Arabidopsis thaliana: one gene and its partner. The protein of the gene in region 1 interacts with the protein of each later gene in a biochemical or structural test. Each region holds a gene or a part of one and is shown on either strand. Other genes may lie near its edges.

The links.
Region 2: the proteins of PIL1 (region 1) and TOC1 form a complex in vitro, tested with the Arabidopsis thaliana proteins (one study listed by BioGRID).

Annotation. Positions count from the first base shown.
Region 1 is NC_003071.7:19,294,100-19,300,853, reverse strand, and holds PIL1 (phytochrome interacting factor 3-like 1), read left to right. Parts: upstream 1-2,995; 5' UTR 2,996-3,175; coding exon 3,176-3,249; intron 3,250-3,316; exon of another isoform or gene 3,317-3,332; coding exon of another isoform or gene 3,333-3,340; exon of another isoform or gene 3,341-3,423; coding exon 3,424-3,958; intron 3,959-4,039; coding exon 4,040-4,147; intron 4,148-4,235; coding exon 4,236-4,301; intron 4,302-4,406; coding exon 4,407-4,472; intron 4,473-4,835; coding exon 4,836-5,237; 3' UTR 5,238-5,423; downstream 5,424-6,754. Other genes in the region: ASY3 (asynaptic protein), read left to right, coding at 424-558, 737-828, 924-986; CYP709B1 (cytochrome P450, family 709, subfamily B, polypeptide 1), read left to right, coding at 6,642-6,754. UniProt on the Arabidopsis thaliana protein: Transcription factor. Involved in responses to transient and long-term shade. Required for the light-mediated inhibition of hypocotyl elongation. Necessary for rapid light-induced expression of the photomorphogenesis- and circadian-related gene APRR9.
Region 2 is NC_003076.8:24,672,298-24,680,068, forward strand, and holds TOC1 (CCT motif -containing response regulator protein), read left to right. Parts: upstream 1-2,665; 5' UTR 2,666-3,242; coding exon 3,243-3,375; intron 3,376-3,692; coding exon 3,693-3,854; intron 3,855-3,990; coding exon 3,991-4,124; intron 4,125-4,274; coding exon 4,275-4,442; intron 4,443-4,526; coding exon 4,527-4,680; intron 4,681-4,773; coding exon 4,774-5,879; 3' UTR 5,880-6,253; downstream 6,254-7,771. Other genes in the region: AT5G61370 (Pentatricopeptide repeat (PPR) superfamily protein), read right to left, coding at 1-1,174; AT5G61390 (Polynucleotidyl transferase, ribonuclease H-like superfamily protein), read right to left, coding at 6,505-6,739, 6,812-7,473, 7,597-7,660, 7,757-7,771. UniProt on the Arabidopsis thaliana protein: Controls photoperiodic flowering response. Component of the circadian clock. Expression of several members of the ARR-like family is controlled by circadian rhythm.

The DNA of each region.
Region 1 (6,754 bases):
AGTCATGAACATTAAGAAAGCTTAGAAGTTCAAATATACTATCTTTGCAGTTTAATCCTGATTCAAGGTAGTAGATCGGAAATTTGATATCAAGTATTACTCTTTAGATTGCATTTAGTCTTGAAGTACTCACCATCTTGCTTCATTCTTGTGCTTTCATGTCTCTTTGATTAGACACACACACACACCTAACTATACTTTCGGCTCTAACATAGACATGAAACTTGCATTTAACATAGTTATATCAAGACAAAGCTAAATGCTCAATTCATTCCTATGTGGAGAATAATAAAAAATTGAGCTGTGTATTGTTGTGGAACATGAGAGTCTGGAAATGTCTCCATATTTCCACTCATTGAATAAAAATATGCAAGATCCGTTCTGATCTATTGTGTTCACTGATAATATCTAATCGTCTAACAGAGCAAGAAGAGAAAATGAGAATGATCCATGAAAAGTTCAAGGACGATGTCAGCCATCATCTTGAAGATTTTAAGAGTACTATCGAAGAGCTTGAAGCAAACCAGTCAGAGCTGAAAGGAAGCATAAAGAAGCAAAGTATGTTAACTTCTGTAATTCCTGCTTTTACTACAACGAATTCTAACACTAGAAATACTTGAAACATATGATGTTATCAAAGTTAGATTCTTCATGGCAAGATAGTTTTAATATAATAATAGCAGGAGGACAAGTATTTCCTAAACTCACTTGATAACTTTTTATCTCTCTATGACAGGAACATCACACCAAAAACTCATTGCACATTTTGAAGGAGGCATCGAGACAAAACTGGACGATGCGACCAAAAGAATCGATTCTGTAAACAAGGCAAGTCATTGTTCTGCTTCTTAAGAGTCAGATTCTAAAAATGGTTAAATCATGAATTCAAAAGCACAACTTAAAAATGACGTATTGGTTTACAGTCTGCGAGAGGAAAGATGCTGCAGCTGAAGATGATTGTCGCAGAATGTTTGAGGGATGATTGACACTGAGTCTCACAGAATCAATCAACCACACGTACGTCGTTATTCTCCATTTTAAAACATAAACTAGACGAACTGTGTTAACCAGGAAAGAAAAACCTCTCAAGCAAAACCAGCCTTTGGTTTAGTGGTCTCATGAGTTCAGGCGAATAAAGAAGATATAGTAGATGATGCTTTGACTCATTGTCATTGATTCGTATTCGTATAGAATAGTTTATTGTTCACTGAACCACTACAAAACTACTTATATCATAGAGCCTTATTTTATATAGCAGTTTGAAGGTTTCTTTTTAATTTATTTTTGCCAGCAACTGCAGATATTTTTTATTAAACCAACAACTTTTAATTAGGTTATTGATATCTTGATATATATCGAAGCAAAACCAATCCAAACATTTTTCTTTTAAAAACCAGAATATTTTGCAGACGTTGATGTGAATTTTAATTACAATATTTTACTTTAACAGAGATGTATTTCATATTGAATATCAAAACCAAACTGAACAAAGAATGGTCACAATTCGATATCAATCGAATGAAACAGAAAATAAAATGTTGGACCCAACAATTTTACTGTGATGATAAAAACATGGTAGAGATAATTTTGTTTGTAAATAGAGAGATCTCAAATCACAGAGGATTCTTTTTTTACGGTCGGTAAAAGAATTTAGAATGTGTCGAGAGGGTAAAAATGGAGAAGACGACAAGATAGTAGCAGTCGTTAGAAACAAACAAGAAAGAAGGGAGGGAGACAAAATAACACAAAGGGGTGGATGAATCACGCGGCATTCACGTGAAGTGCACGTGAACTTGGCCAAAAAAAGCCTAATTGTGGGTCCCATTTAAAGAGAAAACTAAAGCCTTTAAGAAAGGGCCCATCCATATATGTCTTAATAATGGCGTGAAGGTTCTTTCCGCTCACGTGGGCCTTTTGTGCCCGTCTCTCTCGCATGTCACTCACTACAGTTTTACTAGTGTTTTGTTTTATTTTTGATAACAACATTATTGATTTTTTTTCGGTCTACCTAAGTTTTGACCTTTCTTTTTTAATTGTGAACAATTGAACATGCGTATTACTTATTGATAATACTTTTATCTTCAATAAAAAAAATAACACACGAACATAATATAGAAATAGTGTGTTCCAATACTGGAGATTATTTAGTAAGTTCAGTTGGACGCTTTGTCATTGCATAGTTTGGAATTTATTCCTAAACTTTCTAAGAACACGTTCTTATAGGAATTTGCATGACGAAAAAATCAATACTAGTTGCATTATTGTTGGAGCATCATCGGGAGTGATTTTTTTTGTGTTTTCCTATTTACTACATTGTGTTTTCCTGACCTTTTAAATAAAAAGGAAATACACAAAACCATATATAAATATATGTATATATATATCTGACTGTGCTCAAGTAAAATTCACGGATCAGACGTTAAAAAAATGATCATGCTTAATATTTTCTCATTTTAGATGAAGACAAAAAAAAAAAAAAGGAATTGCAATCGTAGATTTGACTTTATTTTTATTTAATTTTTCTATTCTTTTTCCGAAAGCAGAGAAAAATGGAGCGGTGGAGAGTAGAGAAGTCGGTCATAAGAATGTCTCTCTCTCTATTTCTTTGTCTTTCACTATCGCCCATACATTATCTTGCTTCTTTCATTTATTCCATCAATATTTTTGTTTTAAAATGAAAGATTTACACATTAACATGAATACTTATACTACTCTTTATCGCGTATATATAGTATAGTCTATGTTATTATGAATTTATGATTATATTTTTTCTATAAAACGTGCGAAAACTCATTTCACATATACAAACAAATATATACGTTTTGTATTAAAAAAAAGCAACTGTAAATTTTATAAATCTGAAATGTAACATTTGAAGTCGACCAAAGTTTGTAAGGTAATAATTTGTACTAATTCTCCATACTGTGTCATAATCACGATTCAAGGATAAATATATGAGTTGTGGACCAAAACAAATCCTCCATATCAATCAATCATAAATGAAATAAGCGAATATACATATATACAACCGACTATATATATATATATATGCTGCTCTTCATTAACCCCAAGAAAGAAAACCAAAGTGTGAAGTCCGAATCTCTCTGATTCTACAATTCACAAAAACCGGAAAAAAAAAAAGACAAGTAAAGAAAGCTTTGTTCAGTTTACTTCAATGGAAGCAAAACCCTTAGCATCATCATCATCTGAACCAAACATGATTTCTCCATCATCAAACATTAAACCAAAGTAAGTTTATTATGGTTTCATCTACACTTTTTGCGACTTCTATAAACATATACACATGCGTGGTTTTGAAATAATGGGCGCTTATGGTTCTGTCGGTGCTTGAAACAATTTTGTCTTCTCCTGACTATTTTTTTTTTGTTAATAGGTTATTTATACGTGACTCTTTTCTTGCAGATTAAAAGATGAAGATTATATGGAGCTGGTGTGTGAAAATGGGCAGATTCTTGCAAAGATTCGAAGACCAAAGAACAACGGTTCTTTTCAAAAGCAACGTAGGCAATCTCTCCTGGATTTGTATGAGACCGAGTACAGCGAGGGTTTCAAGAAAAACATCAAGATTCTTGGAGACACACAAGTTGTTCCGGTGAGTCAGTCTAAGCCACAACAAGATAAAGAAACCAATGAACAAATGAACAACAATAAGAAGAAGCTAAAGTCCTCCAAAATCGAATTTGAGAGAAATGTTTCGAAAAGCAACAAATGTGTTGAATCATCAACATTAATTGATGTTTCTGCTAAAGGTCCAAAGAATGTTGAAGTTACTACAGCTCCTCCTGATGAGCAATCTGCAGCTGTTGGTAGATCCACGGAATTGTATTTTGCTTCTTCATCGAAGTTTTCTCGAGGAACTTCGAGAGATCTAAGTTGTTGTTCTTTAAAGAGGAAGTATGGAGATATTGAAGAAGAAGAATCAACCTATTTAAGTAATGTAAGAGAAATTAATTAGCTGCTTGTCTTAGTTCTTTCACATGGTAGATCATTAATTGTCTTTTTCTTATTGCTTATGCAGAATTCAGATGATGAATCAGATGATGCGAAGACACAAGTTCATGCGAGAACAAGAAAGCCGGTGACTAAAAGAAAACGAAGCACAGAAGTCCATAAGTTATATGAAAGAGTGAGTTTATATGTATGAAAATTTCACCTTAGTTAGTAGAAAAAAAATAATGTATGAAAATTAATGCTAATTAAGGATTTGTTAACAGAAACGAAGAGATGAATTCAACAAGAAAATGCGTGCTTTGCAGGACCTACTACCAAATTGTTACAAGGTTTGAGATTAACTTAAATCACATTACATTGTTTACTTAGTCTTAGAGAGTTAATTAATTTTCTCTTTGTGGAGATTTCTGAATATCTGTAATTGTTGATGATAGGATGATAAGGCTTCATTGTTGGATGAGGCTATCAAATATATGCGGACCCTTCAACTTCAAGTTCAGGTATTCAAAATAATACACCAATTCAATAAAATTTCATTGAGAGATAATAAAATGATTCAGGTGTTAATTATTTAAACACAGACTTGTGTTTATATTTACATATAAATTTGTTTTTTAACATTAAAATATACTTTGTAAAGTGTTTTTGTTATCAAATATTATTGCGTTTGGCTTTTACCTTTACGAATGATTCTTGATAAAGTCACTAGAAACTAGTTTCATAAGAGAAACCAAAACAAATTATAAACGTAATTAAACACTAATCAATAAACAATCAAAAGTTTATTCCTTATTTATTTTACTACAAATTTTTTTACATATATATAAGATTCTTAATTAACATGCTCTAATAATTATTTACAGATGATGAGTATGGGAAATGGATTAATAAGACCACCTACGATGTTGCCAATGGGTCATTACTCTCCCATGGGTCTAGGAATGCATATGGGTGCAGCAGCAACACCAACATCAATACCGCAATTCCTGCCTATGAATGTTCAAGCAACCGGTTTTCCGGGGATGAACAATGCACCACCACAAATGCTAAGCTTTCTTAATCACCCAAGTGGACTAATTCCAAACACTCCTATCTTTTCTCCATTGGAAAATTGCTCTCAGCCATTCGTGGTGCCTTCGTGTGTTTCTCAGACTCAGGCTACTTCTTTTACTCAATTCCCAAAGTCTGCGTCCGCCTCAAACTTAGAAGATGCAATGCAATATAGAGGAAGCAACGGTTTTAGTTATTATCGCTCGCCAAACTAATGATTTGTAGAAAGTTGATGTTTTCTCCAACTAACTAACTTTAAGCAAAAAAAAATGATCGTCTACTCTGTGTTGTTAGTCTATGGGCTTTTGGGCCTTGATTCTTGGAACGATTTGAACTTAATTCCAACTATTTTCAAAGTGGATGTACAAAGTAAAATATAACAAATATAAGTTATCATAGACTCTATAACAAAGTTATAAGTAGAGGACGTGCAATTGCATAATGATGGATGATGATGAGTGTTCAATTACGATAAACCGATTTTAACGCAAACCCAACTAAGATGAAGACAACTCATTTGACCTAAATCGTAATTTGAAACGAATTTTGCCATGTTTTTGGGATTAAGGAACAATCTCAATGATGAGATTGAGTAAAGTACTACAAAACTTGGGCTTGATGGGCTTTTTAGTGGACTAATATCTACTTTATTCTTTCTTTTTTCAAACATTAAAAAATTAATTGGGCTTTTTCAAACACGAAAACAAGGGAGTGCAATAGTGTGATGAAGATGAGACTCACACATTGAATTTCTGATATTTTAGCGTCAGGTGCGTTGAAAACTTGAAATCAATGTGAAGATTCTCTTTTAAAAATAGATGACTCTTATTTCATGAGTTAACATGATACTTAAAGAAAGTGGATAGTTAAGTCTAAACCAATTCTTTTAGTATAGAAATAAAATTTCAACCACTTCCTTTAAATATGAAACCATGCAAAAGTAGATAACAAACGAAAAAGTGTTTCATTTTAAGATTCGATGTCACGATCCATCACATTGCACCGTTGGTTGATAAATATCTCTCATCTTTGTTTATTTATTTTCACAATGTTGTACTTCTATTTCTATAACATTTTCGTTTGAATTCAAATACCAAATTAACTCTCCAAACAATTAGTTCATCAAGTATTTTGTTCACAATGATATGTTAACAACAAATCATTGATTCATTGTCCATGCCGGATTATTTTAAAGATACAGAAACAGTAAACCTAAGATACAATGAATGCTAAAACTAAATTATTCTCCCAAAAGGATTACTTAGCTTTCATGAGTAATTTTATATTTTTCTTTTATCCACTCATTTTTTATATACTTTCTATAATTGTCTTATTACGTAACAAATATGTGCTATAGGCATATTTAGAATCTACTCTATCATCATACCATATATAAGACACATTTTACTTTATTAATTACTTTTTGTTTGTTCTCAAATTGAAAATAAACAGACGTGTTTGTGCTAACTTCATGTAGTGTTTAGATAGTGTTTCATTCACTGGCCATAGACTTATTTTACAAAGTTATATGTGCATGTCATTATATAGTGTAGAACTTAAAACACCTAACCAAGAACAACAATACACACACACAAACATAAGGAAAAAAAAACTTTTCCATGGGGCTCGTAATTTTCTTGGCACTAATTGTCTTAATCCTTATTATTGGTCTCAGGATATTCAAAGCTTTTATGATTCTTGTTTGGCATCCATTTGTGTTGACCAGAAGACT
Region 2 (7,771 bases), on another chromosome or scaffold:
CCTGACCATAACCACCCACTGAGCTTCTCTTCATCTTCTCAAACAATTGAAGAGCAAAGTTAACCCGCTCGACCCCACAAAGAACCCCGATCAGATCATAATAGAATTTGCGTTCGGGTCTAAATCCTCTCTCGATCATCTCATCCACAATTTGGTTGCCTTTACCAAACCTTCCTGTCAAATACAGGACCCTCACAACGAAGTAATAGCTCCCTGTATCCGGATCACATCCCGATCTTTTCATCTGTTCTAAAATCTGGCAGGACTCTCTCACCCTCCTAGTCCTTCCCAAACAAGAGAGCAAAATGTTGTAACTCATAGACGTAGGTTGGATTTTGTAAGACCTCATCTCCAACATAATATTCAAAGCTTCAGGAACAAGCCCAGACGGGTTTCGATTCACGTTTCTTTCGCAAAGGCAGGTCAGCAACGAGTTGAAACAGAACAAATCCGGTGTAATCCCTGCTGATTTCATATCTTGTATAACTCTTCTTGCTTCCTTCACGTTTCTTTGTACCGACCACCCGAATAAAAGACTTCTATACACAGACAATTCATTCCCGGATATTACATCCTTGTGATGATGCATAACTCCCAATGCTCTCTTCACATGTCCTCTGGAACAAAGAGCGCTTATAATAGCCGTCACAGTGAAACCATCTTGTGGGCAAGAAAATTTGTCCAAGATCTTGAAGATACCTATTGCATCTTCTTCCTTACCAACCTTAACCAGAGTTTCAGCGACAATGCTAAACGTTTGCTTGTCCATCGCCCGATTCTCCTTCCTGAGATCTGATAAGAGTATCTGCATAGCTGTGTGATCCTTCTTCTCAGCCAAAACTCTTAGGACATAGTTGAATTCCTTGTCGTGTAAACTAGATCCCAAGCTTTTACACGACCAGGAGAAAAACCTCAACAGCCTTCTCGGTGAAGTCTCGTTCTTGCAAGACTCAATCACTTGGGTAACAAGGTTTGATGATGGAGAAACAGAAACCTGGTTCAAGTTTTCTTCAAGGTCATCTAGACCACCAACTGGAGAAGAAACTATCCGAATAACTTCATGCAACGCCGTTTCCGATCGGTCAACTAAATGGTGAGAGCAAAAGTAACGTGTCAGTTTTGCAGTACTCGTTAGATACGTAAACCTGTTTAATCTGACTGTGGTGGACATCATCTTCTCTGAGGAATTTCATCAAACACTTGATATGCGTATGCTTCTTAAAAGCCGCCAAATATAAACCATAGAAGGGACTCTCTCCTGACTTACATGTTTCTCAGAGTATTTACAACTTCGTTGTAAATTCTTTCAGCAACATGAAATTCAGATTTCTATTAAAAGACCTAAATTTGCAGATTTCATGAGATCGCTCGGCTCAACAACAATATATATTCATTTGTTGGAAACATTGCCCGCGTGTCTGAAAAGGGCATTTTAGTCTTTTACATTCCATCACGCTTCAAATTCAGAACCGGATAAAACCGATAATCGTGAGATACGATGGTTATAACTTATAAGTCACTAACCGGAATGATTACTCTCGAAGGCCGCCGATGCATATTGGAAAATCGAACTCCCGATAAAATAGTTCTGAAATTACACGAATAATTAACATCATAAAGTCATAAACAAGTTATTGGTCAATGGTCGATGGCAAAACGTAATAAAAGTTGGACCGGGACAAAACGTGTCTTACGGTGGATGAAGTTGAGAATATATCATGCATTATTGGTCCACTTGTACTAACGATATTCGCAGCTACTAATATGAGCCAATCGGTAATACGAAATATTTTAGCTTGTCGACTACTTACTTTCTATATAAAAGTTTAGCCTACTAATTATCTCTTTTTATGATTATGACAACTTGATTATTTGTTTCCCAACCACTGATGATGAGATTAACCATCTTTTTTGCTAAGAAGGTAAATATTTCATCTTGCTAATGTCCTGTTTACAAGACAATTTGCACACATACACTTATAACATTAGAAAAAAACACTTGAAACTTTGTTACAACATATCATTTAGCTTGATTTTTCAATCACTTTAAGAAGTTAATGAATCATAATGCCTAAATAAGTCCTCTATAACAACCATGAAAGGAGTGTTATATCTATAACCCTGTGCTTTTAGAAAGAATCATAATTTTTAGGAGTCTTTTGTGATGAGAAATTGAGATGTAATAAAAGTAAAATTTTCTATATCTGTATCTTTCGTTTTTTATTTTTATTTTGTTTGTATCTTTAATTCTTCAGTACCTAAAGATAACAGAAAAATAAAATTCTGATAATAGATTTTCTTGTTGTTATAAATATATTTTAATAAACGAAACGAAGCCGAATCCTAAAATTTGGTTTCTGATGGTTTGGTCTGATCTGGTCATATATTTTAAAAGAATTTGCAATTTTTTCTTTCTGTCGACCTTTTGATATGTTTGTTGATTTTGATATGGAGATGCATCTTCTTATCTTGTATCTTACCACAATAATATCAAAAACAAAAATAAATATCATGAGATATTTTCTCCAAGATGACGTGGCCTTTTCTCTATCTCAACCAAACTATCCAACACAACCTTTTTTTTTATGGCCTGCACTTTTTATTGTCCACGTCATCTCCTTGGCCTAAAATATCCCAAGTCCCACCATTAAGCTACACAACAACGCGTAAGAAAAAGACTTAATCTCCACCGTCCAATTCTATCCTCTTTCAACGGTCTCTGATTTACCATCTCTCTCTCTCTTTTTCGCGTCTCATAATTTGACCATTGATTGACAAAACAAAACAATGAGTCTTCTTTCTCTTCTCACTCTTCTTGTCGGAAATTCACCTTCTCTCTCTCTCCTCCTCATCTCACCGCCGGCGTTACGCCGGATCTCCGGTGACTTTTGTTGAGCTTTTTTGTTGATTCATGATTCGATATAGAGAAAAAAGAATTTCCTATTTCAGCTCTTTGTTCTTAGATTTATCTTTTTGTTTGTTCTTATGGATAAAGGATTAGGTTGGGGGATTAAAAGAGTAGTTTTTGTTTGGTTGTGAGATTACTTGACTTTGTTAAGGGGATAAATTAGGCGACTTTGTAGGGACACTGTACCGAAAAACCCTAGTTCTGATTTGGCCATGGAAGTATCATAGCACTTACTATTGTCGGCTTTACTTCTTCTACTTTTGTATAATCCTTTTTTTTCTTAGGTTCTGTGATTAGATATTTTTTTTGTGTGGGTTTAGTTGTTAATCTGATCATGGATTTGAACGGTGAGTGTAAAGGAGGAGATGGGTTTATTGATAGAAGCAGAGTCAGGATTTTGCTTTGTGACAATGATTCCACGAGTTTGGGAGAGGTTTTTACTCTCCTTTCAGAGTGTTCTTATCAAGGTATGATTTATAGGTTTGTCCTTGTCTTGTTCCCAAAGTTTCTCTTTTTACTTTGTTATTTTTTGCTAAGTTGGGATTACTACTTTAGATTGCAGATCTCTTATAGGTTCTTGTCGTCTGGCTTTTTGAGTCAGTATGGTCAGATGTGATCAAGATGACATTTTTAACCTTTGTTGATTTTAGTACCTTATTGATAGTTTTTGAATGCATCTCTAGTGTGTATTGCTTTCTATTTTTACACTATGCTCAACTGTTTGTTGTTCAAGACTCAATGATGATATATTGGATGAATTGTTTTTATTCTTTTTGGAATGCAGTGACTGCAGTGAAATCAGCAAGGCAGGTGATTGATGCACTTAATGCAGAGGGACCTGATATCGATATAATACTGGCGGAAATTGATCTCCCAATGGCTAAGGGTATGAAGATGCTGAGGTACATCACACGAGACAAAGATCTTCGCAGAATCCCTGTGATAAGTAAGCTGTGTTCTTTGTTGCTCTTCTCGTTTTATTATCTATTCGTGAAGTTGTATCTTCTCTGCTTATCAAAGTGCTTTTGACAGCATGATCATTAGCTTTATACTGACTAATCTTATAATATTCTCAATTTAAGTGATGTCGAGGCAAGACGAAGTCCCTGTCGTTGTAAAGTGCTTGAAGCTAGGTGCAGCTGACTACCTTGTGAAGCCTCTTCGCACCAACGAGCTTCTGAACTTGTGGACACACATGTGGAGAAGAAGACGCATGGTTTGTTTTGCTTGTCTCAAGTTCTCTCTATTTATCTTACTGTTTTTGAGCAATACTTGATAGCCATATCTCTCAATCTGTCGTCTTCTGAAATAAAAGACCTTGATGCATGAAGTTAATGCTATTGATTTCATATATTTGTTTTGGCAGCTAGGACTTGCTGAGAAGAATATGTTGAGCTATGATTTTGATCTTGTGGGATCTGATCAAAGTGATCCAAACACAAATAGTACCAACCTGTTCTCTGACGACACAGATGATAGAAGTCTTAGGTCCACCAACCCACAGAGAGGAAATTTAAGTCACCAGGAAAATGAGGTGAGAAAGTATTTGACAGTTTAAAGCCCTCTGAAAATGGAGAAGAACTGATTTTTTAGCTTGCGCTCATGCTTTTGCTGGTAGTGGTCTGTTGCTACTGCTCCTGTTCATGCTCGTGATGGTGGTCTTGGTGCTGATGGAACAGCCACTTCTTCTCTTGCTGTTACTGCTATAGAGCCTCCATTGGATCATCTTGCTGGGTCTCACCATGAGCCAATGAAAAGAAATAGTAATCCAGGTGATTGTTTCTCTTTGATGTCTCACTTTCTAATAGCTAGTCTCTAAAAGAACCTTTGTTTTAGTGAATTCTAATATAGTAGGGGTTTTGCAGCGCAATTTTCTTCAGCACCGAAGAAAAGTAGATTGAAGATCGGAGAGTCCTCTGCTTTCTTTACATATGTCAAATCTACTGTCCTTAGAACTAACGGTCAGGATCCTCCTCTTGTCGATGGAAATGGCTCACTTCATCTTCATCGGGGTTTGGCGGAGAAGTTTCAAGTGGTGGCTAGTGAAGGGATCAACAACACCAAACAAGCACGCAGAGCAACACCAAAATCTACTGTCCTTAGAACTAACGGTCAGGATCCTCCTCTTGTCAATGGAAATGGCTCACATCATCTTCATCGGGGTGCGGCGGAAAAGTTTCAAGTGGTGGCTAGTGAAGGGATCAACAACACCAAACAAGCACACAGAAGTAGAGGGACCGAGCAATACCATTCTCAAGGAGAGACCTTGCAGAATGGCGCCAGCTATCCACATTCCCTTGAGCGGTCACGCACGCTTCCCACATCAATGGAATCTCATGGTAGGAACTACCAAGAGGGCAATATGAATATTCCCCAAGTTGCTATGAACAGAAGTAAAGATTCGTCTCAAGTTGATGGATCGGGTTTCTCTGCACCAAATGCCTATCCTTACTATATGCATGGGGTCATGAACCAAGTTATGATGCAATCAGCAGCCATGATGCCTCAATATGGTCATCAAATTCCTCATTGCCAACCAAATCATCCGAATGGAATGACGGGATATCCTTACTACCACCACCCAATGAACACATCTTTGCAGCATAGTCAGATGTCTTTACAGAATGGTCAGATGTCTATGGTTCATCATTCTTGGTCACCGGCAGGAAATCCGCCTTCTAATGAGGTGAGGGTAAATAAACTTGACAGAAGAGAGGAAGCTCTGCTGAAATTCAGACGTAAAAGGAACCAACGTTGTTTTGATAAGAAGATTAGGTATGTGAATAGGAAACGCCTTGCTGAGAGGAGACCCCGCGTTAAGGGTCAGTTTGTTAGGAAGATGAACGGCGTGAATGTTGATTTAAATGGACAGCCTGACTCTGCTGACTATGATGACGAGGAAGAGGAGGAAGAAGAAGAAGAAGAGGAGAACCGGGATTCATCTCCTCAGGATGATGCTTTGGGAACTTGAAGATACACCAAGAACTGAAAACCGTTGTGTTATACGTATTTGCTTGCATCTTATCAAACAACAGAAGATGTTGATCGACTGACACGAAAAAGATGATACTGCTACAGCCAAAAAAACATCGAATATCGAGTTGTCTCTAAGGCAATGTTGGCTCTTGCGGCTCAACTTTTTGACAGAGCATTGAAAAGCTCTCATTGGGTTTAGCTTAGTTCGTTGATAAACATATAATGTATTTTATCATGTTCACTCACATTCTCTCAGTAAGTACTCAGATGTATTAACCTTTCTTCTCCTTCCAGTATCATTTACTTGAATCTTGTTTTTCCCTCGCTCTCTCACCTGTGTTTACATATATAATTATATATAATCGCTCCATGTCTTCCACCACTAAAGCTTCTGTCTTTCCTCGGAAAAACACAATACAAATGCAATTGTGTCACAGACAAGAAGCATATGAAAATCTAAATTTGGATTTAAGTTATCTGAAACTAAGAACATAATCAGCTGTATATCTACTGTCAGGAACAACAGTTCTGTGTTTCTTTCATGACTACATAAATAAATCTCTACAGTCCACTAAACTCTGATTTCTTTAATTCTCTGTGGTGCTATTGAGTAAGGTCCACTAATGTATAACAAGCTTTCTAGCAACTAGACGGATTCCGGCTCTCTGCTGATAATCATATGGCTCCAGAGACAAGAAAGCGTCAAGAACAGTTCTCGGATTCAACAAAGACTCAATCTCTTCAGCCTTGGGGTTGCTAGAAATGAGTTTCTGAGTAGCAGTAGCTCCAGAGAACTCTTTCTGGTGTATCTCAGCTGCGTACCGATCTATATCTCCATTTAACTCTGTGGGTATACTGCACATACAAAGAAATAATCAGGAAAAAAAGCAAATGAAATAAGTAAAGGAGATATATAGGAAAACATACTGTATCCTTGCAGTGGGACAGTTCAGAAATCCTTTCATTGGAATGACTAGAGGGTTCCAGTCAGAACCACTGCCTGAATCAACAGATATTGTCTGTGCAGCACTGTCGCATTCTTGAAGTACGTTGCAGAGACTTGGATACAGATCAATTACAAAGTTCAACCTCCGTCTTCCAGCTTTATCCATAAATTTCCCATTGATTCCAAACCGTACTTTCAGACGAGGACAATGGAGCTGAAGGGGTCTGTCCCCAAGGAAGAGTTGCAGCTTCATTGTTTGGCTCCCGTCATATAGCGGGACATGAGTTGCTCTGATACTTGAAACAGATATTTTATCTAGCTCCATGAATCCTTCCTGGTCACCGGTACCTTCAGAGGCAACAGTCTCAGACTGCTGATTTTGTTCTTCTTCCATGGGAACATCTGATTGAAGAACTTCAGGGGCTATTTCGTTCCTCAAAGTGCTCATATCAAATGGATCCGTTTGAGCTTCTGCGGATGAAACAAATGATAAAATAGGTATAGTTGTCATGTTCTCTCCTGTCTGCTGATCAGTGGGAGATTGCAGAGGAGATTTTTTTATAGTCCTACGCCTTCTTGAACTAGTTTCAGGAGTAGTAGTAGTAACCGAGTTCTCTATAAGTTCATCTGGAAGACTTGACTCCTGTTGAAAAATGGCATGTTTCTGAATTAGCTCCTCATAGTTACATCACTAAAATCTATTCTACAGAGCGACAGGTACACACAACACACGATAATCCATCTCGAAGAAGTAAAGAGAGCATACCAAGAACAAAACAGTGGCACAATACTTGAGAACCTCGAAGTTCATCCTTACATCGTCCAGACTCCTTAAGAGATAGAAATAAACATAGTGTACAAAGCATTAGAACTCAACCGGCCTATTAAAACACCGTAATGCAAAAAAACTCACATATATAAATTACCTATGCGTCTGGTTT